Linked DNA regions of Saccharomyces cerevisiae S288C. The protein of the gene in region 2 interacts with the protein of the main gene of each other region in a pairwise test. Each region holds a gene or a part of one and is shown on either strand. Other genes may lie near its edges. The genes, in order: YJL218W and MRX16.

The links.
Region 1: the proteins of MRX16 (region 2) and YJL218W interact in a two-hybrid assay, tested with the Saccharomyces cerevisiae proteins (2 studies listed by BioGRID).

The regions. Positions count from the first base shown.
Region 1 is NC_001142.9:13,584-30,203, reverse strand, and holds YJL218W (acetyltransferase), read right to left. Parts: upstream 8,232-16,620; coding exon 7,641-8,231; downstream 1-7,640. Other genes in the region: hexose transporter HXT8, read right to left, coding at 1,608-3,317; oligo-1,6-glucosidase IMA5, read left to right, coding at 4,118-5,863; REE1 (Ree1p), read right to left, coding at 6,475-7,071; hexose transporter HXT9, read right to left, coding at 9,004-10,707; oligo-1,6-glucosidase IMA4, read left to right, coding at 11,668-13,437; VTH2 (signal sequence-binding protein), read right to left, coding at 14,080-16,620.
Region 2 is NC_001136.10:712,975-730,315, forward strand, and holds MRX16 (Mrx16p), read right to left. Parts: upstream 7,330-17,341; coding exon 5,842-7,329; downstream 1-5,841. Other genes in the region: MTC5 (Mtc5p), read left to right, coding at 1-21; SAC6 (fimbrin), read right to left, coding at 366-2,273, 2,385-2,405; FIN1 (Fin1p), read right to left, coding at 2,773-3,648; YDR131C (uncharacterized protein), read right to left, coding at 3,816-5,486; ATP-binding cassette glutathione S-conjugate transporter YCF1, read right to left, coding at 10,030-14,577; RGP1 (Rgp1p), read left to right, coding at 15,285-17,276.

The DNA.
Region 1 (16,620 bases), on a different chromosome or scaffold from region 2:
AATAAACTTCTTGAGTAAATTCTAGAGATACCTGCCTAGAAAACCCCCCTGAAGAGCCAATTTAGGTAGGAATTGTAATAAAGGTCTCAAGCTTGTAGGAGAATTATTTTTTTAACCCGCAGCAACAGTATTGTCACTTTCTTCTTTTACGACGTCATATTTTATAAAACGAATCTTCTCAACCTTTTTTAAAATTCCCAGTTGTCTACTTACAAATAATGACGTTCGTGTAAGTTTAGAGACTATCGGCACGCTCTAAAATGTGACTATATCGATATCGATTTGGCGGTTTTCACCAATAACAAAATGGGTGAAACATAGCTGAATTTTCTGCAATTCTTAGAATCCTATTATGAAATATTGGGGCCTTGAGCATTAAACCGACACCCGAACAAATTGAATATTTCGAAAATTGTTCTTTTCGATGTCATTTTTACCAAAAGTTAGATAGGAGATGACCCAGCGGTTACCTGTATTTCAGAGGTTACAACAAATTAAAGCGGTCTTATATTACTTTAGAAGCACCAACTTACATATTCTGGATAAACAGTATTTCTAACTTACTACTAGTTTAGTAACACATGTTCGTTACAGATAAGCCATTCAAAGATAATTAAAATCAGTTGCGCCATTATTAAAGGCCGAGAAATATATCAAGGTTTTCAGCTTAAAGGGATTTGCTGACTTTCTTATGCACTAACGCGCCAACATCGTCCTTTTAAAAATTAAGTCAACTCATCGCTTAGCGCTTAGCGCTAATGCTGGTCTTCCTCGAAGAGAACATGCGTTCGTATTGAGATATAAGTAAATATTGTGGTAATTACCGGAGTTTCATTGTTAAAAAAGAGTATGGAATTATGAATACAGAATAGGCCAGGAATTTTCATGAGACTATGGGAAATTGCCAAGGGAATCAATAATTCCACATAATGTAATTTTTCTTCTTCCTTTCTATGTGCCCTCGTTTATTTCCTATTACATTGCTACTCCTTTTATTTCAGCTTTTATTAATTCTGAAATCATTAGTAATATAAATTCTGGGTTAGGAAATCATAATTGATCTCATTCCAATGCACTAGAATACCTATGTACACACGAAAGTGCTTAAGTTATCATATGACGAACAGAGAATATCATATGTTCCATTTTTATTTTTCTATAAACAAAAGTTGCGTATTATTGTATTTTTTTGTTGTGTTATGCAATAAGCAGAGGCTACGATGTATTAATTAATCGGTTCCTCAAAAAAAAAAAAAAGTGATCTATAAAGCGTTGACGATAATCAATACTTTGTTATATTTTGGTAGTCCTGACGGGTTTCAAAATAAACAAAGTTAACAATCCGCCTACTAATTTGATTTGCTTTTTTTCATGGGCAGTAACATCAAGAAAACACTTTGTTGTTAAGCCCATCTAAGTATCATATTACCAAATCTTCTGTGAGTAAAATGATATAATAGGACTCAACGTGACTGTCAGTCTTCAGTAGCCCTGGTGTTTAATATATCGAATCAGTCTTAGGAATTAAAAAGCCCCTATATTACAGAGGGCATTGGACATTATTTATCAATGTACTTTGAAGTTTGCTTGCGTGTGTTTTCACCGGTCTAAAACATTCTTTTGTAGAAGGGTTTCTCGTCATGCTGTAATTTTTCGTTATCATAATCACCATCCCTTCTAGAAGCTGGTACCCAGGATTCAGATTTCCAAGGTAATACACCGTCCATCCACATCTCATCAACTTCTTCTAAAGTTAGACCTTTTGTTTCTGGAACAAAGAAAAAGACGTAAAAATATGAAAACGCTAAGCAACCCATGAAAACGTAACCGTAGTAGAAATTAATTGCCGAAGTAATAAAAGGAGTGAAAAACCCGATTAGGAACCCCCACAATAAGTTGGCCGCTGTTGCAACGGACATACACTTGGATCTCACCCTTAATGGAAATGTTTCAGAAATAATCACATAACATACAGGTCCCCAGGTGCAGGAAAAGCAGAAAATGTAAAAACACGTGAAAACAATCGTACAATTACCAGCACCTTTAGATGATGGTTCACTTTTACCGTTCGGATATAGTCTTGTGACGCCAACGGAGGCGTAAATAACCATGCACGCCGTCATGGTGGCTGCTCCAAGTAAAAGACATCTACGACGGCCCAACTTATCAACAGAATAAAGTGAAAAGAAGCAAGAAGCAAAATTCACAATACCCAAGACAATTGAAGTCTCAAAAGAGTCATTCATACCGACAGATTTGAAGATAGTAGTACCGTAGTAGAAGAAATAGTTGTCACCGGTTAGTTGCTGCAGAGAGTTAATCATGACTGTCATCGTTAAACGTTGAAAAACTTTAGTCTTTCTCGAAAATAATTCCTTCCATGAAGCAGTTCCCATTGCTTCTTCTGCCTCCACACCAGCAACAAGAAGATCAATCTCTGCAACCACAGCAGGATCGTCAACACTAAGCTTGTTCGACTTGGCAAAAGAAGCTTTAGCTTGCTCAATCTTACCGACTTGCACCAAAAACCGAGGAGATTCCGGAACAAACGTCATACCACCAATCATAATAATAGCCCATGCAAAACATAGACCAAGCGGAACACGCCACTGGACAGAATTCGAGTAAGTCTTGGTACCATAATTGGTACAATAACCCAAGAAAATTGCGAAAGTCACCATCAATTGCCAACAAGCTAGCAACGTACCTCTGATATGCTTTGGCGCAGTTTCCGAAATAAGCATCGGGGCAAGAACACTAATGGAACCAGCACCTATACCAGCGATAATTCTTCCAATAAAATACTGATACCACTTATCTATAGAGGCAATTTGAATGACAATACCAACCATATAAACGACAATAACTATAATCAAACCCATGCAGCGGCCGTAAATATCACCCAATTTAGACAAGAAAAGACAGCCAATGGCGCTTCCCACATTGAAGATGGACACAATCAACCCAGTTCTCACATTAGATAAGTAGTAAGTGTTCTTGGAATGGCTATAATTACCAAATCTTCTTAAAAAATCAGTCTGATTGACGAAACCAGAAATCGTACCTGTGTCCCAACCGGACATAAATCCACCGAAAGCCATACATAAACACATGATAGAAACAGTAGCATAGGCTGAAGCAGGCTTTTCTGGAACAACAACTTCCTCTGCCTCTTCCCCATTATACTCGGAAAAGTCCTTGTTTTCCTCCACTGTAGGTACTGACAGATGTGAAGAATTTTCTATCGAAGGGCAGCCATCATCTTCTGCCTCTTCGAAAATCGGTTCTTCTGGCAAGTTGGTTTTACGATCAGTCATGGTTTTTGCTGGCGTTCTGAGCTAACTAAAAGTGACTTATAAAAAATGCAATCTAAAATAAGAATGAAACAAAAATGGTCGTTTAAATATATCTAGTCAAGCTTCATCCCTTACAATGGTTAGCGATGATATTCCGTCGTCCAAAAGATTACGACCATGCCAGTTCATATTATTTTACTTAAGAGTTCATGTCTTTCATGCGAAGAAGCGTTCGGAAATTCCAAAACTTCTTAGAGTTCAGGAACAGGCCCGGTCGCGGAATTATTCTCGGGATAATTCCAGCCGCTTGGCAGGTAGGCTAAATTACACATTTCAAGAACTTTCTCCGGCCTTTTCTGTGAGATACGTTTATAAGTTGCTGCAGCAGGATGCTCTAGGCTGCTTTCTCTGGAATTTCTCTCCTTCTCCACATACCTCGTTGTTGAATCCCCGCGGAGGTGATATAATAAAGTTGCGTGAAAGCGTAAATGCCTAGACGGAGAAAAGAAAACGGGGAAATAAACTTTGCATTATTTTTCCTCCGTGGAGAATCCTCGGAGAAACACGGGAATATTTGAAACTATTTGCAACATTGTCCATTGAAATAGTCACAATCCTAGAAGCTAATTCACCGGAAAAAGTAATTCACACTTAAGAATTGTATCTTCCATTACCGCTACGGTAATTGATACGGTTTTGAGGAGTAAGTTCATAAACGTCTGACGAATTATAAATTAGGACACTTGTTCACATATCTTGGTGCGAAAAACTACTGTTTCTTGATGACTATATAGAAAGTGCTCAATATTGAAAAGAAAAACATGACGATCATCCATAATCCTAAATGGTGGAAAGAAGCCACCGTCTACCAAATTTATCCTGCTAGTTTCAAGGACTCCAACAATGACGGATGGGGTGATTTAGCTGGGATTACCTCCAAACTTGACTATGTCAAAGAATTAGGTGTCGATGCGATATGGGTGTGCCCATTTTATGACTCTCCTCAAGAAGATATGGGTTACGATATTGCCAACTATGAGAAGGTTTGGCCACGTTACGGTACCAATGAGGATTGTTTCCAAATGATAGAAGAAGCTCATAAGAGAGGTATCAAGGTTATTGTTGACCTGGTTATCAACCACTGTTCTGAAGAGCATGAATGGTTCAAGGAGAGTAGATCTTCTAAGGCTAATCCAAAGCGTGACTGGTTTTTCTGGAGACCTCCAAAGGGTTACGATGAGAAAGGTAATCCAATTCCTCCCAACAATTGGAGATCTTTCTTTGGTGGATCTGCTTGGAGATATGACGAAAAAACTGGTGAGTTCTTTCTGCATGTGTTTGCTCTTGGCCAACCTGATTTCAATTGGGAAAATGAAGAGTGCCGTAAAGCCATTTATGACTCCTCAGTGGGCTATTGGCTACGTCACAACGTTGATGGCTTTCGTATTGACGTAGGCAGCATGTATTCTAAGGTTGAGGGCCTACCCGATGCTCCTATCACTGATCCTACAGTTCCTTACCAAAAAGGAACTGAATTTTTCATAAATGGGCCACGTATCCATGAGTATCATAAAGAAATGCATAACTACATGCTCTCGCAAGTTCCAGAGGGTAAAGAAATCATGACTGTTGGAGAAGTTGGTATCGGGAATGAAGACGACTTCAGAGTTTATACCAGTGCCAAAGAAGGAGAACTAAATATGATGTTCAACTTCAAGCACACCTCAGTAGGTGAAAACCCAAAATGCAAGTACGAACTTATTCCCTTTACTTTAAAAGACTTTAAGCTGGCTCTTGCTGAAAGCTTTCTGTTTATCGAAAACACAGATTGCTGGTCGACCATCTATTTGGAGAATCATGATCAACCTCGTAGCGTTTCGCGTTTTGGCTCAGATTCTCCTAAATGGCGTGAGATTTCGTCCAAGATGTTGGCTACTCTCATCATTTCATTGACTGGTACTGTTTTTATCTACCAAGGACAAGAATTGGGTATGCCCAACTTCAAAAACAGAAAAATTGAGCAAATCAAATGCGTTGAAGGTACTGGTACATATGCCGCCATTAAACGTGATTATGGTGAAGATTCTGAAAAGATGAAAAAGTTTTTTGAAGCATTAGCTTTGATCTCTAGAGATCATGGGAGAACACCATTCCCATGGAGTGCTGATGAGCCTTCTGCAGGTTTCTCGAAGGATGCCAAACCATGGATTGACATGAATGAATCATTTAGAGACGGAATCAACGCAGAAGCTGAGTTAAAAGATAAAAACTCAGTCTTCTTTTTCTGGAAAAAGGCCTTACAAGTTAGAAAGGAGCACAAAGATATCCTTGTTTATGGACATAACTTTCAGTTCATTGATCTTGATAATGACAAGCTATTCATGTTTACAAAGGACACAGATAACAAAAAAATGTTTGCTGTTTTCAATTTCAGTAGCGATAATACGGACTTTTCAGTTCCTGATAATGAGGCCTCCTACACCATGTTTTTTGGCAACTATGCAAACTCAAATGGTGATTCCCGCACCTTGCAGCCATGGGAAGGAAGACTTTACTTGTTGAAGTAACGAGCACATTTAACATAAACGTACTGATCTTTCGAAACAAATAGTTATGCCGATATTTATGAATAATAAACTTGTATATTTCTTTTTACTTTTGCTTTTCATATGTGAGCATTGGATACTTAACTTACGCTGTACGCTATTTTCAATTGCAATTTATATATGTATATAGAAGACAGAAAATTCACTGAACCTTTTTCCGAAGAAATATAAAATAAAAAGCAACGTACAGCAGAAAAATAGAAAACATCATTATTACTGTTTCTATTGTCTAAATTTAGCCCTTTAAACCCCATCATCATAAGTACTAATTACCACGAATTCAATAATTAGTAAATACATTCGACTATTCTCACCCTAACTTTCGTCACTTTATCTTAAAACACTAGCTAAAAGTCGTTTATTATAACAAAACTAAAAATTTCGTAGTATGCACGCCTTATTGCCCAGTATTTTGTTAACTGTATGGATTGTACTAGTAAAAAAAATCTTGACGAAATTGAGTATAAACAAAATTTTAAAAAGCATAGTGCCAAATCAACAGATCTTAGTGAGGTGCAGGCCTTGTTCTTAACAAAAGCAAACCCCTCTTTATATATTGATATATAGGTGAACTAACTCAAATCATGTAAAGCTTTTCCTAAAGGAGCTGTGAGACTCCATTCCGAGAAAGTAACTTTCAATCCGCCACGCTCAGGTGTGCAAGCCATTGGTCCAACAAGGTAATGGTCAGAAGTTGGAAATGGAGCCAAACGTACTAACGGCCATGTTTTTTTATCAGAGGACACCTGAATCCTCAAAACGCCCTTTTCAACAGTAACACGAAGCCAGAAATCGCGAGCATTTCCGCCATAAACAGCAGTTGACCAATCTGATTTTCCATTTGTCAAAACACTGCTTAGCATTGCGTGGCCATCAGAAATTTCTATGCCAGCTTTGAGCCAATGTCCATCATCTATACGAACCATGATACCAGCCTGATCATAAAGACTCTCGTAGCTTCCCTGAACACGGACTTGTGCAGTAAAAGCACTACCTGTCTCTACTCCCAAAAAATGACCGCTATCACGGGTAAATCCGTAAAATGTTTCACGCCAAAAGTCAGTTTTTTCATCTGTTTCCAGAGTGACTTTTCCTGCCTCTTGAAAAACAGATTTTGGCTTATTGAGCCATGTTCCTTGCGATAATTCAGTATTCTTAGATTCGACCATTGTGTTTGGTAATTTATCTTGTTTGATGGAGAAGCCGTCACTTGGACTTTTGTTAATATTAGGTCAGGTTAAATACCTAGGAAATCTGTGCGTATAGGATCATCCCTTTCTAACTCCATCGAAAATGTTACTTGTTTTGTTCGAGGCTATTTGATGACCCTTTCATATGGACGCATGCAGGTGGCCATATTTTCAGTTTAAAGTTTCTCCGCATGTTAATTTGCGCTGAAAAATTAGAACGGTACTTATTTCCCCGAAAATTTCTCAAATCCGAACATAAAGCTACCAGCCACGCGTTTTCTATACGGTTGGAACTTGAGCAGTTTTACATAAGTTGTAAACTATAATTTTCTCCTCGAAGATAGATTATACCAGAAAGAAGCTACTATACACAGTCGAGTTGAGAATGAGCAACTTAAACCAGAACATATACCAATAATTAATAATCTCTCTGCGTATTTAGTCGACTAAAACTGAACTAGCTTTTTATTTATTCTTATAAGAAAATACGGTACATAATCATAGAAGACAACACTTGCTTTCGATAATTCCTCCAGAAAGTGGATCCATCATTTTCGATAGTTTGTAGTTGTACTATCTTTTTCAGTGATCTTTCTTATCACCTTACAAGGATTACCTGCTGCCACTACATTTTCTGGTATGTCACGAATCACAACACTACCGGCGGCAATCACGGAGTTTTTACCTATATTTACTCCAGGAATTATTGACACTCCACCTCCAATCCATACATTGTCTCCAATGGTCACAGGCATGGCATATTCTAATCCTTGAAGCCGTCTTTCCACGTCAATTGGATGACCTGCCGTATAAATACCAACATTAGGGGCGATAAATACGTTGTCACCGATGACTACCTTGGCCCCATCCAATATAACAAGATTGTGATTGGCGTAAAAGTTGTCTCCGATATAGATGTTACTTCCGTAATCACAGTAAAACGGCGGTTCAATTATAAAGTTATCAGTGCAACTACCAAGTAATTCTCTTATTACCTGGCTCTTTTTATTCTCATCAGCGGGGCTAAGGGTGTTGTATTCGTGCAATTTTATTTTAGTCTCTTTTCTAATTTTCAAAAGATCTGGATCATAGTTCGCATCATAAAGCTCACCAGGTACTATATTTTCTAATACGCCCATTTTTCTCTAGAAGCCTTGTTTATATGCTTATTAGAATGCTTCTCTATGTTCTTGTTGTAGTACGTGAGATCTCACTCTTTATACTTGCGTCTTTTCGAAGTAATGCTAAATAGTGCCTGGCCCAGCGTCACAGGGTGTTTAACGAGCGCGTACTATTTGTGAATTTTTTTGGGCACATTGAAAACTTTAATTTTTTAAGTTATTCAGGCACGGCACACTATGACAGGAGGTTACGTCGGAGAAATAGCGTTATGGCCGATTGTGAGAACATTTAAGAAATTTCAATCCATAACAATAAAGTGGCAGTGTCACCTAAAATATTAGTACCAACTTGCCCAATTGGCAGAAGGAAAATAAGGATATCAGGCCACCGACTTGGTACTATTTTTTTATGGTAAATGTGTACTTTTACTAAGCTTAATTTGAAACAGACGTCATATGAATGTTTCTGGGGCTACTTGTTACAATTCTCGGTCCGCAACAACTGAACTCTGTACTGTTCTGTCTCAATGCTTGGTTTCTTGAATGGAATTTCACTCCACCCTTCGGAACGTTACAAAATTTATACATTTTAAAAATTATTCATGAGAGAAAGATGCTATAGTAATCTGTTCACCCTGTCAACTCGTGTAGCTCATGTTTATCATATAATTTCTAGTTCTATAAGGCATAACAAATAGTCCGTTAAGGATTAAGGCGTAAAAAAGTAAATATTGTATATAATAAATAATTAAGTTCATGTATTTTTTTCCAGTTACTAAAAACCGGAAGATTAGCTGGAAAAGAACCTCTTGTAGATTGGTCTATCGTCATGGTCTATGGCGTCAGCATCGTAATCTGCGGTTCTTCTTTCTGGTGGCACCCATGAGGCTGATTTCCATGCTGGCACACCTTCCAGCCACATAGTATTCACCTCCTCCAGCGTCAGGCCTTTTGTTTCTGGGACAAAGAAAAAGACATAAAAGTATGCAAAAACCAGACAGCCTAAGAATACATAACCGTAGTAAAAGTTGATTGCCCCGGTAATGAATGGGGTAAAGAAACTAATCAGGAAACCCCACATCCAGTTTGCAGCTGTTGCGATTGCCATTCCTCTTGATTTGACCCTAAGAGGAAACGTCTCTGAGACAATAACGTAACAGCCGCCTGCCCAAGTGGTGGCGAACGAAAAAATGAAGAACATAGTAAACACAATCATACAGTTACCGGCGCCCTGAGAAGTAATGTCTTGGTGACTGCTTCCTTGAGGCCACAACTTTGTCACACCGACGGAGGCAAACACAGCAAAGCAGCATAGCATAGAAGCAGCACCCCACAATAGACACGTACGGCGTCCAAACCTCTCAATGGTGTATACCGCTATGAATGAAGAGAAAAAATTAACCACACCGATAATGATCGAAGTCTGAAAGGAGTCCTTTAGACCGACAGATTTGAAGATGGTGGTGCCGTAGTAAAAGAAGTAGTTATCACCGGTTAATTGCTGCAGCGATTGGATCATCACTCCCATGAGAACACGCTGAAAGACCTTTGTTTTAGTGGAGAGTAGTTCAGACCATGATGCGTTACCTGCCAGCTTTTCAAGTTCGATTCCCGCCTTTATAGTGTCATATTCTGCTAACAAGGCTGGATCGTCGACTGAGACTTTGTTGGATTTCGAAAGTGAACGTTTCGCTTCCTCATCTTTACCAACCTCAATCAGGTAACGTGGTGATTCTGGTACAAACATCATTCCACTAACCATGAATGTAGTCCAGGCAAAGCAAAGACCAAGGCCGACTCTCCATTGAGTGGCGTTGTGATAGTTCTTGGTACCGTAATTGGTACAGTATCCTAGAAAAATACCCATCGTACACATCAGCTGGTACAATTGGACCAGGGTTCCTCTGATTTGTTTGGGAGCAACTTCAGATATCAACATTGGGGAAAGGACAGCAATGCCTCCCACTCCTAGGCCAGAAATAATTCTTCCAATGAAGTATTGGTACCACTTGTTTATGGAAGTTATTTGGATTAGGATGCCTACAACGTAAATGGCAGTAACTGTAATCAATCCAATACGACGACCATATATATCACCGACTTTTGACAAGACAATTCCGCCTATGGCGCAGCCAATGTTGAATATTGAGACGATCAAACCCATTCTTACTTTCGATAAGTAGTAGGTTCCCTTGTCATTTTTTTGACCGAACCTTCTGATGAAATCAGAAAGGTTAACAAAACCAGAAATGGTACCGGTATCCCAACCAAAGATGAAGCCGCCAAATGCAATCATCAAACACAGGATTGCGACGGTGGTATATGCAGAGAGGGGTTTTTGAGGTAAGTCAATAGGTGGTTCAGTGGCATCCAGGTTGAGGGAGTTTTTAGAGTCATTATGCTCAGTTTTTACAGATGGTGCATTTGCTACTGAGTTAGAGTTAGACTCGGTAGTGGATAAATCATTTGCGGATGTATTATTAACACCGGACATGATATTGGGTAAGATACGAAAGCTTTTAGTACTCAATTGTGCAATGATTATTTTTTCCAACTCATACCAAAAAAAGAAGAAGAAAAAGATAGGAACAACAGTGTTCTTTAGTTACACAGCTGTGACATTATATACCTTTATTTAGCGAAAAAGAGGAACTGAGAAAGATGAGCCTAGACCTTAAGAGCTAAGTAGTATAGGGTGTGTCGAACTGCTACTGATACTTTGAACGAAGGTGTCCGAGTGTATGCATTGCTCGTGTGGTCAGCATTTTTATTGTGGAGGAGGCGGATTCATCTACAATTTCCGACGCCTGATTTTCCACGGATATAATTTATTTTTTGACACCTGGAGTTTACATTTCACAAAATTTCTTTCTTTTTAGTTTTGCACTGATTTCCCCTGAAATAAAGAAAAAAGAAAAAGAAGGTTTTGTGAAGTGTCAGGGAAATGCACGAGAAAAGCACTTATAACTCGCACGGAGAAATGATTATGTAATTTTCCCGGAGAAATGATTATGTAATTCCGCGGAGAAATGGTTATGTAATTGTTGCGGGGATCGAGGGTTGTTTACGCTCCGTATTTTGTCTTAGGGCTATGTATACGCAAGGCTGCGGAGGCAATGCAATAATGGGGTCTGCTTGCAGATGGTATAATCTGCTATAACGGGCCAAGTGACAGGCACGCTGTTGCAGAACATACCATCTTATATCATGTAGGTTGTGCAAACATTACCTAAAACTGAAAGCTTCGTTTACATACAGCACTCCTTCCAGATCCTAAATTTACTTTGTTCTTTTCTTATTTTCGATCATTCGTAAGACGTCCACAGACATATATAAGTAAGGAAGACTTCTTCACTCGAGGAATTAGCTGTACTAGAATATATGTTCCATTCACCAATCCAAACACACAAACAAAAGTGAAAGTTTTTTCATAGAGATAAGAAAGCAACGTACAATGACTATTTCTTCTGCACATCCAGAAACAGAACCCAAGTGGTGGAAAGAGGCCACAATTTATCAAATTTATCCCGCAAGTTTCAAAGACTCCAACAACGATGGTTGGGGTGATATGAAGGGTATTGCCTCCAAGTTGGAGTACATCAAAGAGCTTGGTACCGATGCCATTTGGATCTCGCCATTTTACGACTCGCCACAAGATGATATGGGTTACGATATTGCCAACTACGAAAAGGTCTGGCCAACCTACGGTACGAACGAGGACTGCTTTGCCTTGATCGAAAAGACACATAAGCTTGGTATGAAATTTATCACCGACTTAGTCATCAACCATTGCTCCAGCGAACATGAATGGTTCAAAGAGAGCAGATCCTCAAAAACCAATCCAAAACGTGACTGGTTCTTCTGGAGACCTCCTAAGGGTTATGACGCCGAAGGCAAGCCAATTCCTCCAAACAATTGGAGGTCTTACTTCGGTGGTTCTGCATGGACGTTCGATGAAAAGACACAAGAGTTTTACTTGCGTTTGTTTTGCTCCACCCAACCTGATCTAAACTGGGAGAACGAAGACTGCAGAAAGGCAATCTACGAAAGTGCCGTTGGATACTGGTTAGACCATGGTGTAGACGGCTTTAGAATTGATGTGGGAAGCTTGTACTCCAAGGTTGCTGGTCTACCAGACGCTCCTGTGATTGACGAAAACTCAAAGTGGCAACTCAGTGATCCTTTCACAATGAACGGACCACGTATCCATGAGTTTCATCAAGAAATGAACAAGTTCATCAGAAACAGAGTGAAGGATGGCAGAGAAATTATGACAGTTGGTGAAATGCGACATGCTACTGATGAGACCAAGAGGTTGTATACAAGTGCGTCAAGACACGAACTTAGTGAGTTATTCAACTTTTCCCACACTGATGTCGGGACTTCGCCCAAGTTCCGTCAAAATTTGATACCATATGAACTAAAGGATTGGAAGGTTGCCCTTGCTGAACTTTTCAGATACGTTAACGGAACTGATTGTTGGTCAACAATTTATCTGGAAAATCACGACCAACCTCGTTCAATTACCAGATTTGGTGACGATTCTCCCAAAAACCGTGTTATTTCTGGTAAGTTGTTGTCTGTGTTGTTGGTGTCACTGAGCGGTACTCTATATGTGTACCAAGGACAGGAACTGGGTGAAATCAATTTCAAGAACTGGCCTATCGAAAAATACGAGGATGTCGAAGTTAGAAATAACTATGATGCGATCAAGGAAGAGCATGGAGAAAACTCGAAGGAGATGAAGAGGTTTTTGGAAGCAATTGCCCTTATTTCCAGAGACCATGCTAGAACACCTATGCAATGGTCTCGTGAGGAGCCAAATGCTGGTTTTTCTGGTCCTAATGCTAAACCATGGTTTTACTTGAACGAGTCTTTCAGGGAAGGAATTAACGCTGAAGACGAATCCAAGGACCCCAACTCGGTTTTGAACTTCTGGAAGGAGGCCTTGAGATTTAGAAAGGCACACAAGGATATTACTGTGTATGGATATGATTTTGAGTTTATTGATTTGGACAATAAGAAACTGTTCAGCTTCACAAAGAAATACGACAACAAAACATTGTTTGCTGCTTTGAACTTCAGCTCTGATTCGATCGACTTCACGATTCCAAACAATAGCTCATCGTTTAAGTTGGAATTCGGAAACTACCCAAGAAGTGAAGTTGATGCGTCTTCCAGAACATTGAAGCCATGGGAGGGCAGAATTTACATATCTGAATGATTAATGATTGTGACGACAAGATTTTTATACATATACATATACTTATATTTATCTATGTTACATACCGCACTTTAAATAGTAACGACATACATGTGGTAATGCGATATTGGGTATGTGATATTCTAAAGCGTAGCGAATAACAGTTAATGTAAGTGGTAATTAATAATTGTGTACAATAGTATGATATAGTTAGCTGAAAAAAGAAACAGTAAAAAGTTTGAATTGATTGTATTATTTTATTTAACAAAGTTAATATCCAAACCTTTTTTTTCGGCAGTTCTCATACATAAAAATAAAAAAATTTGCATCAAGAACTTTTACTAGAGTGTAGACGAATAGTGACAATTAGTACCATGAATATAATTACTGCCGATTGCAAGGCTTCTTGGGGTCTTCATTATTTAGTTTGAGGTATTGTTTATTTGACCTCCATGCTCCTTACAATTGACGTTGTTCTGTCCACACCATGAAAAATATTTAAAGGGCACGAAATGTTAAACTAGCCACAGTATATTGTGTCAAGAAAGAAAAATAATTCTATAAGTACGGTGATGGAGGTAGAAAATGGGCTTCTGAGTGATTGATATGTAAGAAACCCAACATACAATGCGTGAACAATTTCGTTCGTTTAAAAAGACCTACCTACTTGTCTTCGCTGCGTGCAGCTGCTAAATCGGACTCGTGAGAAGCACTACGCGCTGGCAAAGCGTCTGGAATATTGCTAGCACCAAGTAGGTCTGTCCGCGACGTATGCTCTTGTTGAGATGTGTCAACATCTTCTTGCTCAATTTCAGAATTACTACCTTGACCTCTGAAACTGGATAAATCGTTGGAATCTTCATGGAAGCCATCTGGTTCATCTGAAAGCTGATCATGAAGCAGCGAAGAGTAAGTGGCACCTTTTTTGTTGCCAAACCTTGCCCTAAATTTTGAAGAAAGTTGCGCTGTACCTGCCTTCGCGCGTTGAAACGCAGACTTGGTGATTAAAGAAATGCATAATCCTAGTCTTACAATGATGTTGACAACTCTATCGGTCCTATTGTTTTCTATCAGCCCATCGTCTCCTAATCTGATTTCTTCAAATCTTGAAAATCCCCCATTTCTCCTGATACCTCTATCGTATACAAACCATGCGACAAAGAAAATAACGAGAAGAATTGTAACAAAAACCAGCGCATAAGCGCCGGTGTTTATAGAGTATTTTTCCCTGAATGCCTTTTCTTTTCCCGGACAAGGATGTGGTGCTAAATGTGCATCCAATTTCAGCCCACCTTTACAGGTTGATAAGGGAATTTTCCGATAGCCGGAGGAATCATAGTATTCAATTAAGTCGGGTTCCTTTTTGCAGATATCGGCACCATTCGCCGAACTTAAGCCTTTGACTAATTTACAAGTACCATCACTGGCTTTATAAAAATTATAGTCACATTCGAAATCTTGTCTTGTACATGGACAGTTTTTGACGTTCCTCGAAAATTCAGAAAGTGGAATATTCCCAATAAAACATTTTTCATCGGTTTTACGTAAAAATTCTGTTTTATGGCCAAACAAACAACCAGTTCTGGAACCCAGAGGAGAGTACTTAAAATCTGCCCTTTTTCTACCGGTAATATCAAACTCACATTGCCTCTCGAAGATGTTTCTAAAATCAATTGTATACGTTCTGAATGAACCACTACCCATGTTTTTTGCTTCTCCAAATAGCAAAAACCTCAAAGCAGAATCTCTGGGAACGGTGATTATATCCTTTACGAGGACTTTGTCGCCACAGAATTTATAATCTTTCCATGTTTTACCAAAATCGGTGGAGTAAGAAATAGAATCAGTTTCTGCGTTTTCGGGGACCAAAACCAAGACTCCACCATGATCACCGTACTCCCATTGATGGGGGCCTTTTTTAACCTCAGTCCACGTCTCTCCTCCATCAGTGGTTAGAAAAGTGGAACACTCCTCATATGGTAGAAGCCTATCGCCAACATTTCCGACACCAAACATCATTCCTAACGCGGAGCCAGAGGAATATGTATCCCTGATATCCTTACGTTCAGTGTAACCATGCAAATGTAGAGAACATTTATCTAATGACACAGAATCACAGGGAAACTTTTTCCCTTCCGAATCCTTCTTTGGAGGCTTCAAAAAGTTCCAATCTGAACCGTCATTGAAGGTGATTTTCGTCTTCAATTGTTCGTCTTCCTTGTTCTCGCCAACCTTTTCGCTATTCGAAACGATGTTGGTGATAATAATACCTTCAAGACCTTGAACTTTTTCAAAGTCCACATAACCGAATGTGTTTCTATTAACGGCATGCTCTAAGGTGACAAAAGAAGTACCATTCGAGTTGGATTTCAAAAGGTTTCCGAAATCGTGTCCTGATTCCAAGTTTGTTGCTAAATGTAAAAATATTGATCCTTCCTCAGATCCTAAAATAGTGAATGCGTCTTGCTTACCAATATCTTCATCATATGGGAATTTTGCCTCGGTAAACTCAGCACCATCATTAGTTACATACGCCCTCAATTCATTGTCTTCATGAGGTACGGCAACAATGATATAGCCACCAGTAGACAAGTAGCCGATAATGTTTTCAAAGACAGTTTTTCTATCATCTTGGAAAAAGTCAGTAGAAGAAACTAAACTTCTTGTTTGCGAAAACTTTTCCTTTACTTGGCACATAACCATATCGTCATTTGACGGATATTTGAATAGTGTTCCTGCAAACTCACAATGAATTGCATTATCAAGCATTTCTGTAAAAGTTTCACCCCCATCTTTGGTGAGGTATGCCACTGCATGACATTCTGGACTTAAAATTGATTCACAATTCTTACCACCATAGTAAATAAAAGTATCCTGTGCTTTAGCACTAAAATCTAGTGGCATGCCTAATTGCCTGGCTTCAGGTAATTTAGCTATCATGAAAGAGTATCCTCTATCGTGTGTTAAGAATATGTTACCTTTAGAGCCAAACAAATATGCTGAAGAATTGAAGTATGGGTTAAACACGATTTCGACAATTTTTTCGCCGTCAGTGTCAAACCTTTTTATCGTTTGTCCACCATCGTGGGATATATAGGCGTCTCCTATCGAATTCAGCATGACCAAAGATTCGTCGGCAACTGTATCGAAGTATTGGTAAAATTTAATTTCAAAGTCGAATTTGTTTTCAGTAGTCACTATTTC
Region 2 (17,341 bases):
CCGGAAATGTTCGATGCCTAAAAGCTTAACTATCACGTACATTTTCTGCATATTTCAAAGAACCTTGGATGTATATGAAAAAAAGTTCACAGGATATATGGCTTAATAAGTAGTTTATTTACGATTTTTTAATCCAGTAGAGGCATGATAGAAGACGACAACGGAATCATTGAGCGTTGGAGGCATTTTTACAATGGCTCAGTAATCACGAATAAAAGTAGGTGGAAGTTGAAATCTATTATTACATATTAAAAACTTCAGAAATACTTGAGGCTATATATTGTTGTACACTTAACCAATCGTATAACGGAGCATTGGAACAAGAAAGCTGAGTAGAAAACAGGTTACGAAAGTTGTTTGTTGGCTCATTTGTTCAAAGTCATTAACGAAGCGATAAAAGTAATAATTAATCTTGCACGAACTTCGTTGATATCTTCTGGCACCAACCAAATCAAAGCACCCAACTTTCTAGCAATAGAAATAGCCAATCTTGCGTTTGCGTACCTTTCTTCCTCGGTGTTACCAGGGGTGACTAGATCATAATCAACATAGCCCGGCGCGATACCATTCAGAACATCCAATAAGAAGTGGGCGTTTGATAAAGCTTGGTCCTTAAATGATCTAATGGTAGAGTTTTTACCACCTTTAGTTACCTGGTCTTGGGCCCACTTTAATATTTGAGAATCACTCATGTCTCTACCACTTGAGGATAATGTCTTCATGGTTATCGAAATATTTCTACGCATCAATTGCCACACTAACCCTAAGGTCAGTAATTTGTTACCATCTACAATATCAGATCCTTCGATACCAACCAAAGAAAATCCTTTGGCTCTGCCCAAGTCGACTGCATAGTTGGTGTTTTCTAAGGCTTTGAATCTGGATATCTCTGCACCCGAGGCCGGTCTTTTGTTGACATGTTTAAAATCAACAGCACCGGGCATCACCTTTTCGTAAGCTTGCAATAATATCAAACCATCCTTCAAATCATCAAACAGCGAAATGACAGGTGGATCAACGTCAAGAGAGTTCAACCATAAGGTAAAGACTCTTGCCTCTCTCTCACCTTCGGCGTCAAATTCTTCAATTTCAGGCTTTTCCTCTTCCTGAATAGGCTCTAATCCAGGATGTGTATTGAATAGATGTGCCACGAAAGCCAGGTTTAATTTAGGGTTCCCCGCAACTAATGAACTTGGGGTTAAATACTTTCTACAATCTAGCTTTTCAGCATTTTGTAAAACTTGCTCAGCTCTCTCCATTAAATCTGTGGTTTGTAATGGTGCCTTAGAACACAAGGCGGGGTCCAACTGGTTCAACAAGATAGTATAGTTTTCACCATCAGACACGTCTTTTGAAAAATTGGTAACCCTTCTGTTCCAGTTTGCTTGCTTCAAATGGTAGTTAAACCAACGTAGTAGAATTTGCTCCGGAGGCAACCTCAAAAATTGCTCCAACGTTTCATCATCCTCCAATAGACGGTATAACTCAGGATGCAGCTTAATATCAATTTTACTTAACAAACCTCTCCTAATAATTTGCCAAATCAAACCCAGGATCAAATGCTCTCTACCTTCAATAATGTCCTCGGAATGAACATTAACAACGACACAACCAATGGCTTTTGCAGAATTAATAACAATATTAGCATTTTCACTAGCCTGAAAATTATTCAATTCCTTACCCTTCTTAGGCCAATTCAAAACTCTTGTATCGATAGTATCAGGAACAGAGTCGTTGATCAACTTAGATAGCACCAACCCATCCCTACATTCATCAAATAATTGGAAAGTATCAGTAGGAAATGGAAGCAAATCACCTATATCTTGGTCTCCCGCCAAGACGCTATTGATATGTTTAGTAAATTCACGTCTTTCTTCTTCATTGATGGTATGTGTAGTACCTGTTTGGGAGCCAGCAACAATAATCTTGGCTTGAGTACCCTTACCCTTGTGCTGTAGTCCTGTGGCAGCAGTGGAAACAATAGGGGTTGAGTTAGGTGCTACGTTGAAAGTGGTCTGTGGAGCAGCTCCTGTTTTAGATTCTCTTAATTTTGCAACCAACCCGACGTAATCGTCCAGTTCAACACGGCCTGACGCATCCACACCCACATGCTTCAGGGTTTCTCTTGCTTCGTCATAAGTAGCATCACCATCTTTGGACACCGCTTCTAGAGCTTGCTGTTTTTCAACCCATCCTTTATCATCTAAGTCAATGGCTCTGAACTTTTCAATTGTGGAAAAAAGATCCTCTTGAGTCAAAATTGGAAATTTTCTCTAATCGCAGAAGAGTTTGTTAGTATATGAAACGTTTATTACAACCTAAAAGGTAGAAAAAACTTTTTCACTGTGCTCAGCAGTGTGGGAATTCGAGAAAGGCATACATACTTGTAATTTGACAATATTCATTGTGTTTTGGTGTACTCCTTAGGGCTAATATATCAGCTTCTTCTCTGATAATTTTAGTGTAAAGAGCTTTCTTGTTCTCCTGAAATAACCAAAATTTATATCGATAAATCTTCATTATAAACTTCGCCCCGTACTTTTGATATTTTTCCGCCTCCCGAGGAGTGCTTTTTCACATGAAGGCCATCGGGAACAAGAAGAAAAGCCGTTCACGTAAGAAAATAGGACCCTATATCCGGTCAGGATCACTCAAGCTGTATGTAAATGTAATATAGACAAAGCACCTTTAACTGCTAAGAATTAATTATAGTGTCGGAAATATAACATAACTTGCTTACTTCCTGTGTAAAAAATGTGAGAAGGGATATGATTACTTATGTTTCGGTATTTCCGTGAGTTGAAGTTCGATATTGGATAATCTTGATTCAATCTCTCGCTGTCTTCTCAACATTTGTAGTAGCAAGTCCTTTATTTCTTTAAGTTCCACGGTTTCTTCAGTCACTATATTATCAGGTAGTTTAAATTTTACACTTTTCTGGAAACTAGCTTTGTGTATCTTACCTTCGTTCGCCAGCATGGAATTCAGTTTAGTGTTCGATTTAGTAAGGGATTCTATGCCATTTCCCACGTCTTCCTCTTCTTTCTTGAGTTCAACTAATAAATTCTTCCCTTTCAATTTAGCTCGAGGAAGGTCATTCTCAAATGGGGCGTCCTTGAGCTCAGTATTAGAACAGAGGTCAGTGTTGCTTTTGGCATCCGATGGGAGAATATGTTGCTGCTGTTGCTGCTGTATCCTTTCAGGTGACATGAGTCCATTCTTAAACCGGGCCCGTATTCTCGTTAACGAACCATCACCCCCGATTTTATTTTCATTACTGAATGTCAGTTTGGTTGGTGATGTAGGGAATATTATATTAGTTATATGATCTGAGTTTTGGATCTTCACATTTTTATTCGAATTTTTGAACTGAGGCCTATCCAGGCTTTGAGTTTCCTTAGAGACATAGCCCTTCAGACATTCCGGCGACATAATCCTTCTTGGTGTTACTTGTATACTATGCTTCATTCCATCTGTCTTGTTAGGTGATATCCTCATAGGTGGTTTCAAAAACTCTTTTTGGCTTGTCGTCCTCAAAGGGGACATACTCAATCTCACAAAGACATTGTCCTTGTCACTTGGTATATTATTTCGACCAATCGTATTCCCTATGTCACGTAAACTCCTGCGGTTGCTTTTATTGCTCATAATTTGTTTTATTGAACTATGTCACATCACTGCAATCCAGTGAGAACACTGAGAAAGCTCTAACTAGACTATACAATCCATTTGTTTTGATTTCCTCTTGTTGACAATTTGCAGTATTTAGAGTATATATCATTATGTACGTGTTATAACCGCCATGTCTCACAGTATCAACTAAATAGAGCTTCTGCGTCCACCAATTCATAAACAGAGTTGCTTTTATAGCCATTATTATAGAAGAGGGGAACCGCGCATCGTTGTAACTCGTCCACTTGTATTATTTTTGTAGGTATACCGTTGATGGTTAGATATTCTAAGTTCGGCAAACTTTGCTCAAAAACTTTAAATACGTCTTTTAGATAATGAAGGTATAAGTGGTACAAACTAATGGCATCTTCTCTAGTAATTTTATTCACTGTAATATTCTCAGTATTTTCTATGGTGCTTTGCAGATTTTCATTGAACTTTCGTACAAACGTTTCAATAGGTACAGAATCCCATCCCATCGCAGGTGATTCGTTGTCAATAATGTTTGTATAGGGCATGATCTTGTTCTCGAAAAACATTTGGTAAAAGAAATTATGGGCTTGGAACTTATTTGGGTTCTTTAAAAGTTTTGACCGGGTTTCAGGAAAGATTTTTTTTAGAATGACCTCGTGAATTGTATTTTTGCAAGTTGAACAAGGGCAGAAACCATCGAAATTCAAGCGAGTTAGTGGGTTATCTGTCATGGGAAAAAAAAGCCTGTGATTTAGTTGGCAGTGTATGTCAAAACGCTGTAATTTTTTGCCACACACTTGTTTAGATAAGAAGTTAATCAACGACACATCGAAGTCAAATTTACCCATGTAATCAAGTTTCAGTATCTTTAAATTGTGAAACACAGCCAAACAATTCATTAGAAAAAATTCGCTGTAAACCAATGACGCTAATGATAGTTTCTCAATGTTCGGAAATTTCCAAAATCCTTCTAGCCCCCATTTGACATATAACCTGTCAAAACCACCTTCTTCGCCAGAGGGAAAATCGTCGCGACTGTACCAAGACAAAATCTCTAGCTGCCTTAAGGTGGAAGCATCAAATATGTCGATGTATTCTAGCTCTTTTAAGAAGTCATCGGAAGCGTCGTACTCCGCAAGGTTAAGTGTGTCGGGTCGCAAATTTAATACCAATGCTTTGATCTTCATAGGAGACCCGGTATTTTTGAAGTACTTCAATGCGTTTATATGAATGGAAAGTTTTTCTAATCGAGATAGATCGCACTTCAAGAGCAACCGATCAATTTTATTCAAATAAGAACCGCTTACACTGTTATGGGTGGGCATTAACGTTGGTGGCGTTAATGTTAGAGTTTTTAATTGCTTTGATAAAGGTTCTAGCCCCTTGTTAACTGATGAGCGAACAAATTGATCGACAAATTTCAAATTGGATCCATACTCGGATAGCAATTTAAGTACATTTGTCATCACATCTTCATTTAAATGCCATGTACAACGTATTCGATTAATTAAGGGACATAATCTTTTCGGTGACTCTGCTAATGTTCTTTCGAAATAACTAAATTTCACTTTAGCTAGTCTTCTATTCGACATGTCGTTTTTAGTATTGGAATCATCTTCATCTATGTAGTGAAAGTTTAGGACAGACCAATAACAGGTTCCAAATGAGTTATCATAGTCACCATTGATGTGATAGGTTTCATTAAGAAATAAATTCTGGTAGATGAAAGGTATAATTGATTCATAGGATCTTTTGCATACATATGTTAACGAAATTTTATCTTCCTGCGGAATTCTCCAGGCAATTTGTTTAAAAATCTCATAAGGTAACTTATCAAACATTTTTCGGGCCCTTTCAAATTGGCAGTAGGGTTATTTTTATCTATTTTAAGACACCAAAGTTTCTTCTTTTTGCACACATTATCCTACTATTTTCTCTACGTTACTTTATCTCTGGTTTTAAGAGGTGTCTGTATCCTAATTCCCGAAGTCGATTTTTTTCTTACATATTAACTGATAAATAACAAGAGAAAAGAGACAAGAGCCTACAAAAAGTAAGAAAAGAAGCTACTACAGGAATGTGAGTTACAATGGGTTTCCGTTATACTTCAAGTACTATAATGGCATATAAAAAATACAACGGAGAGCATACATATACTTAAAAGCTTGGCAGAAGAGTAATTTTATCAAGCTAATCCTACAGATATTCATATCCCTTGTAGTATTCCTTAGTTCCGTTAAATGCTATAGCTTTAATAGCTATCAGCATAATATTGCCATCTTTCACGGCCAGTTTCCAGAGAGACTTTCTTAAGTAAAGCTTTAAACCAGAACAAAATCTAAGGTCAAGTGGATCAGACACGTCAATGACCCTGTCATTGAATTTATTTTTATCAGTTAGCAAAGTTTGAACTTGAGAAATCTTAATGCCGTTTATGTCCAAATCACAGAGATATATGCATGCTGGAAGTAAATAATGAGTTTCAATTTTCGTCTGCGTACTATCGGATGGGAACCGATACTGGTAATTTTTCAACTTAGGCGCACCAGAGGGTGTATTTGGCAAATGACTTCCAAATAAGGCCTCAAACTTATAGGCGGATTCTCCAGTTATGTCTACATGGATACTTTGGCTTTCCTTATTGAGGATTATCGTACAATCAGTCGAATTTATTTGAAATATCAACTCTCTCGGATGCTTATCTAAAAAAGGTCTCTTATAACAAAGCATATTCCAGGAATCGTTATATTTTTCAGTCATGTCAAGTTTAATCTTTTTATTTGCTGGCTGTTCACGGGTTTTTGATAGCGAGTCGCATTCATTTATGCTACAGAAATCGTCTTCAAAGTAGGGCGAGGTTGAAAATGCAGAAGAAGCTGGAAAAGTGATGCCTTTTTTTGACAAATCCTTCAATAGGAGGCAAATCTCTTCTTTCCTTGTTATTGGGTTATAGCTAATATGAGATTTGATTAGCCGCTGTTCGAGATTTAAAAGCCTGTAATAACGGCACTCTTTTATCAAGGCATTTCTTTTATTATCATCTAGATCGATGGATGCTCCTCCCAGTAACGTCAGCAAATCTTTGAAGTACTCAGAAGATCTTGGAATGTAAGGAGCAGAATGAGATGGAGGCCTTAATAGTTTTTTAGATATTATCAGCTCTTCCACATCGATATAAACTGTAGCCGCATATATTTCGAAATAATTTGGGGAATCTCCTTCTCTTCTAAATAAATTTTTCGCTATCTTGAATGATTGTCCACCAATGTTGGTAAAATAATAGTCCGTTTCTTTCAGTAAAGATCGCAATCGCGGTAAATTGTAGTACATCGCATCTGCGAAAAGCATGGTATATTGTACTTCATCCTTAATCTCAATTATATATCCTTGCAAATGTTGATAGATCCATTCAAAAACTTCGGCTGATCTGTCTATGAATAGAACCTCATTTTTATTAGATTCCATGGTATCGTTATTACTGTCATCGTTATTGGAAGGAGAGCGCTTCTTAGAAAAATATTCGGTGAAGAAACTAGGACCATCCGAGCTTAAAGAAGCACCGCTGATTTTGAATAATGATTTCCCCACCTGAATCTTATACATTTTCTCGTGTGGGAGTATTTGAGGAATATTCGGATCGAAATATTCTTGTGACAAAGTTGCTACTGTTGGAGAATTTGACATTTTCTATATGATTATATTGGGAACTTTCTTTGTTGGTAATATTTACGAGTGCCACAGACCGGTCTTTAATTCGCTATCTTTCGTTAGATTATGGTATATAACATTCACACATAAGATATACATTTTTTTCACTGCTCAGACTATTCAATTTTATTCGAGAGGAGAATCCATTAGAATTTTGACTTAGTAAGCAATTGCGGCTTACATGATTTTCCAAGAAGTTCAGTCGCCCGTGCAACAAAGACAAAAGCAAGCTAAGAAAAATGCCAGCTCAGTGGTCCGGATAAAATCTTAAAAGGATACGTTTGTAAAAGAAGCAATGATAAGCCGGCCAGATCGTAATAATGAATCACTAATATAAAACTATTATATTTCAGAAAAGAGGAAACCGAGATAGACTCATCGTCCGCTTATTATGTAAGATATTGAATCCATGTTCTTGATTAGCGTAAACCGACTGGGCAAACAAAAAAACATTATTTTTGAATTAACGAACCTTAAACAACCTATATTAAGATATATGATAAAAATACAATGCAACCAGTATATATAAAAAAAGTTTAGTTGCGTGTAACCTAAGAGATATTAACTTTATATTAATATTATTATAATAAACATTTAGTTATGGAGTGTTGCCTCCTAGAATTAGAATAAGAAATTACCAGAATATCTTATTAATTGAAATAAAACGATTTTGTGGAAGCTGTATTGACGGAAAAGTACTTAACCATTTTTCTAAAAATATATTAAAGAAAAGGTTGAGTAAATTACAACAATAAAGCGGCAGCACCAGCCAACAAAGCACCGGCAGCTGGCAAAGCCTTAACAGCGGCACCAGTGTAGGAGGTAACAGTTTGAGTGCTAGAACCTTGTTGGGTTGGCTTTTCAGTTGGCTTTTCGGTTGGCTTTTCAGTTGGAGCTGGAGAAGTGGTATTCTTTGGTGCTTCAGTGGTTGGCAATGGACACCAGGTGGTGTATTAAGTGATAACGTCATTTACGGTGACGGTAGCAGTGGAAACCAAAGCTGGGGAAACTGTTTCAGAACAAACGTGGTCCTCACAAGAAGTGATAGTGACCAAAGTGGTAGATTCTTCTGTGACAGTAGCAGTGGTAATGTTAGAAGCGGCGGAGGCAACAGCGGCAATAGCAGCGATAGAAGCGACGGTAGAGAATTGCATTTTTAATTTGTAGTTATTTTGAAGCGAACGAAAGAAGATGTTTGTTATCCTTGGTTTTTTATTCTATGAAAAAATTTTAAAAAAGAGAGTCTAGCAGAGAGAAGTCGATGAAGAACAACCACGATCCAGCAACGGTTTATATACTTCGAGAGATGACTAAACCATCCTATATGTTGTGGAAAGTGTACACAAAAAAATTGCAAAAAAAATAGTTAGAAAAAGAAAAGTGAGATAAGTACAAGGAAAAAAAAATAACAAACACCAGAAAAATTCCTGCGCGGTTTCTGTGAAGGGGCCGTTGATTCACCCTCTGCACTGGTCCCTGAAAGGGACTACCGACCATACGCGTAGCCCCTTTTCTCACTGGAAACCATCCGAACGCCGATGGAACACGCGTCTAAAAGTGAGCACGGACCGGACTCGCGGATTTAAAAGGGCTTCCCCACTGCAGCGTGTCCTGCAGCTCAAACCCAGCCATCAATTCGAAATAGGAAAACTCCTTCCTTTTTGAGCGATCGTGTTGTAGCAGCACTTCAAAACGGATGACTTTCTCCGCACTGAAACGCATGGGCAGTCCGGCAAGAGAAAACACCGCGTCGAAGCACGGTTATTCATGTTGGAGCAGTTCGCACCATGCTATTGTTTTGAAATGGCTGCCAAAAATATTCATGTTGCACGTTTCAATGCTTGACAGAAAGGCAATATGGCGGAGAACCAGTGTGAGTTGACCCCAACAAATGAAAAAAAAAAATATAATAAAAATAAAAATAAAAAAACAAACAAAAAGTAAGTCTCCTTCAAGGACAACTGAATAGGAAGTTTGAGCCGGTTTCCTATGCCTATAGCCTTGGATGAGTGAGGAGAAAACGTGCAGTTAATAAAATTAGCATACTTTAGGTTTTAGGATGAAACTTTTTCTCCCACAATCCTTATTTGTTATGACACCAGAGTGCCTAATTCAATCGAAAAACAGATAAGGGGAATTTCTGGAATTAGGGTGACAGAATGAGCTACGTAAAATTAACGGCAATGCGAAGGGCATCTTCATATTATTTTTCTCACCTTGCTGCTATTCTAATTGCATTTCCGTTATTAAGGTTTGCCCCTTCTCCGAAGGTAAGCTGCGGAATTTCCTGATAAGTGCATTACCCCGCATAAGGTTCCCCTTACGATACCAGAAAAGGAATCAGTGTCGATCGTATTTTCGGCATGTGGATTATCCTTGCACCTGTTCTCCGGAGAAATGTTGGTTTTTTTCTGTAAGGGGTATGTGGTGAGGAGGTAAGCCATTATCATCGTTGCCTTCATTATATCTTTTTATTGCTGGCCGATCTCTGATATTATGATGAATATTATGAAAAGTGTTCCTTTTTTCTTGCCTAAGTGACGTGACGTCTCCTTTCTAGGCAAGCTATGCAGCCAGTATCTCGTTGAAAATTAAAGTACTTTTCTTATTTACTTATTTATTTTATCCATCCTACGTACCAGATTGTGCGGGACAGGTTTTTATTAGTTTCACAGTTTAATTTTCATTGACCAAACCAGCCTCCATGCACAGTGAATAGAACAATGATTTGTTATCACTTAATAACTGGCCCGGAGAGTCAAACTCGGCTACTTTACCATTGTCCAACACTATGATTCTATCACTGTCCATTATCGTGTTCAGTCTATGCGCGATGGTCAAGATAGTTCTGTCCTTGAAAGCAGTACGAATCGTCTCTTGGACGACTTTATCTGTCTCCACGTCGACTGCGGCCGTGGCTTCATCAAGCACCAAAATCTTTGATGGAACCAACATTGCTCTTGCAAGACATAATAATTGTCTTTGTCCAACACTTAAGTTGCCACCACCTTCGGTTAGTTGGGCATCTAATCCGTCATTGCTCATTGATAGCACGTGTTCTTTCAAATGAGAAAGTTCCAATGCCCTCCAAATAGCTTCATCAGTGTATTGGTTAATGGGATCAATGTTCTCACGAACAGTGCCCTCAAAAACTTGAGAATCCTGAGGTATGATTGACAATTTATGTCTCAAATCATATAACCCAATCTCGTTGATGGCAATGTTGTCGATTACGATGTTTCCCTCGCTAGCCTCAATCATCCTGAATAATGCTAGCGTTAATGAGGATTTTCCCGCACCCGTTCTACCCACGATACCAACTTTTTCATTTGGTTTAATGTGTATATTAATGTGCTTCAGAACAAGATCAAGCTCCGGCCTATAACGAGTGGAATAATTATTAAACTTTATATCACCCTGGCTCGGCCATTCTTTGGGTGGTCTGTGGCCTTCAACTATTAAAGGTGCCTCGCTCTTCAAATCAGCATATTCCTTTATTCTTTCCACTGAAACAATATTCGTTTCAACTTCCACAGTCATTCTAACAATCCAATTTAACGTTTGAGTGATTTGTAAAGCATAGCTTAATGATAAACCCACCATACCTGCCGTTAATGTGCCTTGTTTTAGTCTAAAAACGGATAAAGTTGCAGCACCTAGAATGATAATTGAACCAATAAGTTCCAACCTATATGCTAGCCAACGGTTAGCATTGATAGAGGGATAGAACGCACTCATGTTATTATCAATGCGGCATTGATTAATGTGGGAAAACCTTTTCTGTTGAGAATAACCTCTAACCGTTGCAAGGCCACCCAAAGTCTCTTGGAAATGAGAGTAGATTGGAGACCTAGTAATAGAGTCTAAACGACGCAACTCCCTTGATGTTCTCAGGTAATACTGCTGGTAGTAGATGTAAAACACACTTAGTGGAATGATAATGAAGATAAATTGCCATGTCGTCGCACAGATAACCGTAATAGTGAATGTGACTTTCACTGCATTGACGAAAAACTGAGAAAATGTTCTTCCTAATAAAGCATCCACTTTGTATATGTCATTTGAGAATCTGTTTAGAATTCTACCGATTGGTGTTGTTTCAAAAAACGTCATTGGGGCTCTCAACACAGAGTTTGTCATCAAGTTGTGTAAATATTTGGAGGCATGAATGGTACAAAAAACCCAGAGAACGATTGTCTGGATTAATGTTGCCAGTGCTGAACCAATACCAAGTGCAAAATAAATGGCCAAGTAACGCGCGGCATTTGGATTAGATCCATAGCGGCTATTAACTTCAGACCAATGTTTCAACCAAACGTTACCCATAACAGAGAGGAACATCGATATAACAATAAACAATATGAATACACAAACGCTTTTCGGGTTGCAAGCTTTAGCGTACTCTAGGTAAATGTTCCACTTTACTTTTCCCTGTTCACGATGCTCTCTTTTAGCAATATTTTCATCGTCACCAAAATCGATGCTTCCCAAAGTTGCATCACTGGCCCTCCTTAAACTTATGGCGTCAGAGTTGCCAAAATCCAAATCATTTAATTTCTGCAGTTGTTCCAGCTCTCCTTCTACAGGTATACTACTTTCTCGAACTGAGCTTTCAGAGGAGTCACCGAATTCATTCGACTTACCGTTATTTTTTTTACCATAGTTGTTGAGCAATTTCCATAATGGCGAATCAGCGTCCTTCGTAATCTCATCATATGTACCCTGCTGTGTGATTTCTCCATTATCTAATAATGCAATAGAATCTGCGATGGATAACGCGCTCACCTTATTAGTGGCTAATACCTTCGTTTTTGTATGTAATAAACCATTTGGACCCAACACATGTTCGATCAAGTGCCTGGCAACGTGTTCATCAACAGCTGCCAAAGGATCATCAAGTAAATAAGTGTCAGCTCTCGCATAAACTGCTCTTGCTAAAGACAAACGAGCTTTTTGTCCTCCAGATAAGGAGATCCCTTTCTCGCCAACTAATGTCTTATCTCCATCCATCAAAATTGCAAGATCAATAGTTAACGCACAGGCCTTGATCGTTTTTTCGTAAAATTCCGCGTCGTATCTATGCCCAAATAAAATGTTTTCCTTTACAGTACCATTCATTATCCATGGAACTTGTGAAACATAAGCAACAGAACCATGAACGGTGGCGAAACCTTTAACCCTGAATAGATCACCTAACATGCATGACAATAGAGCTGTTTTACCACTGCCAACTTTACCAACAATACAGGTCAAATTTCCTTTTTTAGCTTGGAAATTAATATTCTTTAAGGCTACTTTGTATTCCGGTTTCCGTTGCCATAAAAAGGTAGCATCATCTCCAATGTTAATGGCTACATCGCCAATATTTTTTACTTTTGGTAAACGCTGAACCGAATCTGGTTGTAGCTCTTCATTGGTAAAGAATGTAAATAATCTACCAATAGAAACAGAAGCTTCGATAAAAGAATTTAAAACCATAGGAATAATCATTAGTGGGAATGAGAGCAGGTTGAACAGAGTCAAAGCAGGGAAAACTAAGTCAGTAGTCAATGCTCTATCCTCAGTATAAACAAATACAGCAAAGGTACAACATGAAACAAGGAATGGTACTATATTGAACTGAAAACTTGTCACAGCCATATAACATCCTAGTTTTGTAAGATTTTTTAACTCTTTGTTATTTCTTACTTCTTCTAGCTTTTCCCTATAAGGCTTCTCCCATGCATATAACTTCAAAGATTTAATATTGTTTAGTATTTCACTTATAACACGGGTCCTTTCATCTTTGTACTTCATCTGGGATTTTTGCAACTTCTTTTGTATCCTCATCAAAAATGAGTTCAATGGCATCATAATAACTAGTATAATCACGCCAACCCACATGGAATTTCCCAACAACTTATACAGAGAATATAAGCAAATAATGATTTGAAAAGGCCCTGACCATATTAAATTTAGCCATTGTGTTAAATCTTGTAATTTTTGAACATCCACACTCATGAGATTGACAATGTCACCGGTAGAGGAAAGTCCAGAAGCCTCATTAGATAGCACTAAGGATTTTTGATATATTAAAGCCGTTAGGGCGCTCTTAATATACATGCCTGTGTTGAAGACATTCAGGAAATATTGATGCAGGACAGATGTCTGAGTAAAGCCCACCAGAAACATAGCAAACGCAATCAAAAACCCTCTTACAATGGGTAATTTTTGTGGGTGGTTATTTTCAAACCCTTGAAGAGAAGAATGGTCATCCTGTCTCTCACTGTTATAGTCTGTGACGAACTTGATTAAAATCCTTAGTAGTTGTGGTTGAGTAAATGCTAGAACATCATGAATTGCTTTAAAGAATGCGGCTAAAAGCATTTTAGATCCAAAAGTTCTGCATATAGCCCATGATAATGAAGGATTTGATTTTTGCTTCAACTCATTTTCCCAGTTTTTCTCCAATTTTTGAGAGAGTTCTTCACTACTAAAGTTCCTCGGTAATTTATATAAATCTGCTTCCACTAAGTATTTTTCATAGCCAGTTTTCATCAAACCTGACATCCAAGAGAAGGTAATCCTGGAAAATATGTTTGCGCTATCGTATGGATTTGGTTTTCTTCTTGTTAAAGTTTGATGTATGTGTTGATGTGGCATTAGCGGCTTCTTTGGAAGAGCTTCAAGTAACAGGATACTGGCACATGTTATTACTTGGAATAACGTTAGTATGAAACCCGTTTGTCCGGAATACCAAATGCCTTCGTAGGTGTGTCTAATTAGAATATTTATTAGTTTAGCAAAATTACCGAATGTTTCAAAAAGCCAATAGAATAAAAGTACCGTATTGGCTACAACTGATCTATCGTATTCTATCCAGTGTAAGGCTAAAGCAACAAATAAAGATAACATTGTAGAAGCATATTGACTTACAATGGTAAAGTTTTCCGCTTCTTCTTTAGAAATATTTAAAGACGCAAGTGAAACAAACGCTATCTCCAACAGAACTAGTGCCATCCTAGAGACAATAATCCAATTCCGCCTATATTTGATGCCAGAGTGTTTTTTCTTGCAAAGGTTAACTAAATCTCTGATACCGAAGGTTATCATGAAAATTGCTGATAGATTTAGGATCACACCGTCGATGAAGCATTGAGTAAAGTCACCGTAAAAGGATATAGGTCCAAACCCTTCAGGAGATCTACAGAGCTTGCAGGCCCATGAAACAAGATTACCAGCCATTTTCTTGTTCTTTACGGTAGTACGATACCCCTAATTTATTCTCAAACTGTTAATTGAAAAATTGTAGGTTGTAAACCAGCTTCCACATAGCAGATGATCACAAGAGGTTATCGCACCTTTTATAGCAGCTGCTAACTTTTTTCATCAATTTCGTAATTACTAAGCCGTAACCTTCCACCGCCCAAGCATCACACCAGGAGTTACATATTTTTGTATTATCATAAAGAAACACACGCCAAGATATCTACAGAAACCAGATGTTAGCATTAGATATATATATTCGTATTGATGCAGCATAACAAGCGTACTATGGATTGCAAAGTAATGTAGATTCCTGACCAGTAGATCTGCTCGCGCAAGAGAAACATTCATGAACTCTAACGACAATAACAGTAAATCCACCTCACGGAGAACGATAAAAGTCTTCATTTCTCCATGAGGTGGAAACGTTGTTTGAATATTAAACATAATACTTGAACTTCTTGTGTAATTTTTATTTTTTAATCGAAGTCTACTCCGAAGTCTCCTATAAAGCGTAAGGCGCGTCTCCAAAGTGCTATTTTTCAAGATCAATTCAGCTTCAAAGAAGCTTTGATACCTACGGGGCAATGCAAAGGCTGCCAGTCGAAACAAACAGCGAAAGCTAGCCCATAATTTCTTGAGCTGTTGATTTTGATTGTGATATTTTTCATACTTTAGAAGAAGATATGCGTGCGCACAGAATCGATACATTTCTCATAAGAGAAAACATCAAACTGGAGATCATACATGAATCGAATTCCTATTTTGGTGGAGAACATATATCAATTGCTTTCCGATTTAAGCACCTAGGCTCACAGCATGAATTGTTCAACTATAAAGAAAAGCTTCTCACTGTCGATAAAGCTGTTGAAGAGAAGTTGGAACAACAAGCGAAAGTGCAAGATGATGGTGAAGGCACGATGGAAAATCAAACCTGGTCCCTAAAATCATTACTAGGTGCCTTCAAAAGAACAGGCGAACCTGAAGAGAGTGTGGATGTGGATAACATGAAAATGCTAAATGAGAGTAAGATGTTAAGAGAAAAAATACAGAAGCAAATGTATTTTCATCAACCTGTAACGTTAATATCCGGTTATGTTCAAATATCGGGGGTCTTTCAATACGATTCAGAGGTAATTTCAGAGTCAAAATTTAAACAAGATGAAGTAAAAATGGTAGGACTAGATATTGTACCTGGACATACGACAAATTCTGTTCTTGCATTGGAAGATGGAGAACATTTCAAAGGTAAAAGAAATTTAACCAACTACCTCAACTCAGATTATACAAATGTGACCAATGGTCTTCTTTTCTCAGAAAGCGGTTCTAGGGGAAGAACAGGTACCTATAACGAACGGACCTTAATGATATCAAACGATACCAGTATAAAAACATTACCTCTTCTTTTAATACCACAGACGCTTTTATTTTCTGAAATTTCTTTAGAACCAGGTGAAGTAAGAACATTCTATTTTAAATCCACAAAGCTGCCAAAAGATATATGCCCAAGTTATTCATCGTCAAAAGTGGCATCAATAAATTACACGCTGGAGGTTGGTGCGGATGTACTTTCTGATGATAATATCGAGAAATTTTCAAATAGAGTCCCAATAACAATAGCACCATATATTAGTTCGAATGCCGAACAGTACACATCACGTCTGGATAAGCCTGCTATCATATTAAAGACAGGTAACATAAAGGAACTAAAGCCACGTTTGTTTACTCGAAAAGTTTCTACGGCTTCTGCTGTATCATTTGGTAGGAGAAAATCTTCTATAATTGACATTGATTCTCCATTAGAAGATAATGAATTTGTCAAGCGTGTCAAAAAAAACTTCATTGAACTGGTGGAATCTAACCAAAATGTGTCAAGAGATATAGACGAACTTATTGACTTGCAAATGGGGGTACAGTTCGGAAAGGATGAGGATTCTTCGGATCCTGAACCCAACGACTCACACTTTTCGAACGAAATGGTGACGTCTGCAGAGTCTAGCCTGAGAAGCGATGCTGTAACTAAGAGGAGAAAAAGTTATTCGGTACGCGATAACATTTCTAACCTCGAGCAAAAGATGTGGAACGATTGTTCTCTCGTTAAGTCAGATGAGAATTCTAATCTTCTACCTCAGCTAATTAATTTACAGAACGCATATCAAATTAACAGAAATAATGAGACTATGGCAAAAGTATCCTTATCAGCACCTTTTTATAAGACAACTGATGATATAAATTTAGTCATTGAATTAGATCCGATAACGACGCCTTTACTTAAAGTGACTTCGTTGACTGTATCCTTAGAATCGTTTGAAATTATAAATCCAAAATATAAGACTGAAGGAAAAGGAATAGGGAGCAAACCAAAAGGAAACTCGGTGTATGAGAAACATTTTATTTGTTTCGATGAGTGCAAGTCCGTATCGGTGAAATTACTTCCTCCAAGATCGCCTACAAACCAGATTACCGGACAATTCAAGACAGATGTTTTTCAACATAAGTGGATGATAGGACTAAAATTTGTAATAATTGCAAAGACAGAAAGTATCACTTTGGATCAATTTTATGAGGATAAAAAGGGCATCCTATTCCATTCAAAAGAGAATTTAGAAGGTGAAGAGTTTACATGTTACGTTCCCATTCCAATACTGTGTACATCCGAAGATTTCATGGGATGGTAAGCAATAAATGGGTGCAGTTTACTCGTATAATTGGTTTTGCATTTGAATCCAATCCAGTAAAGAGG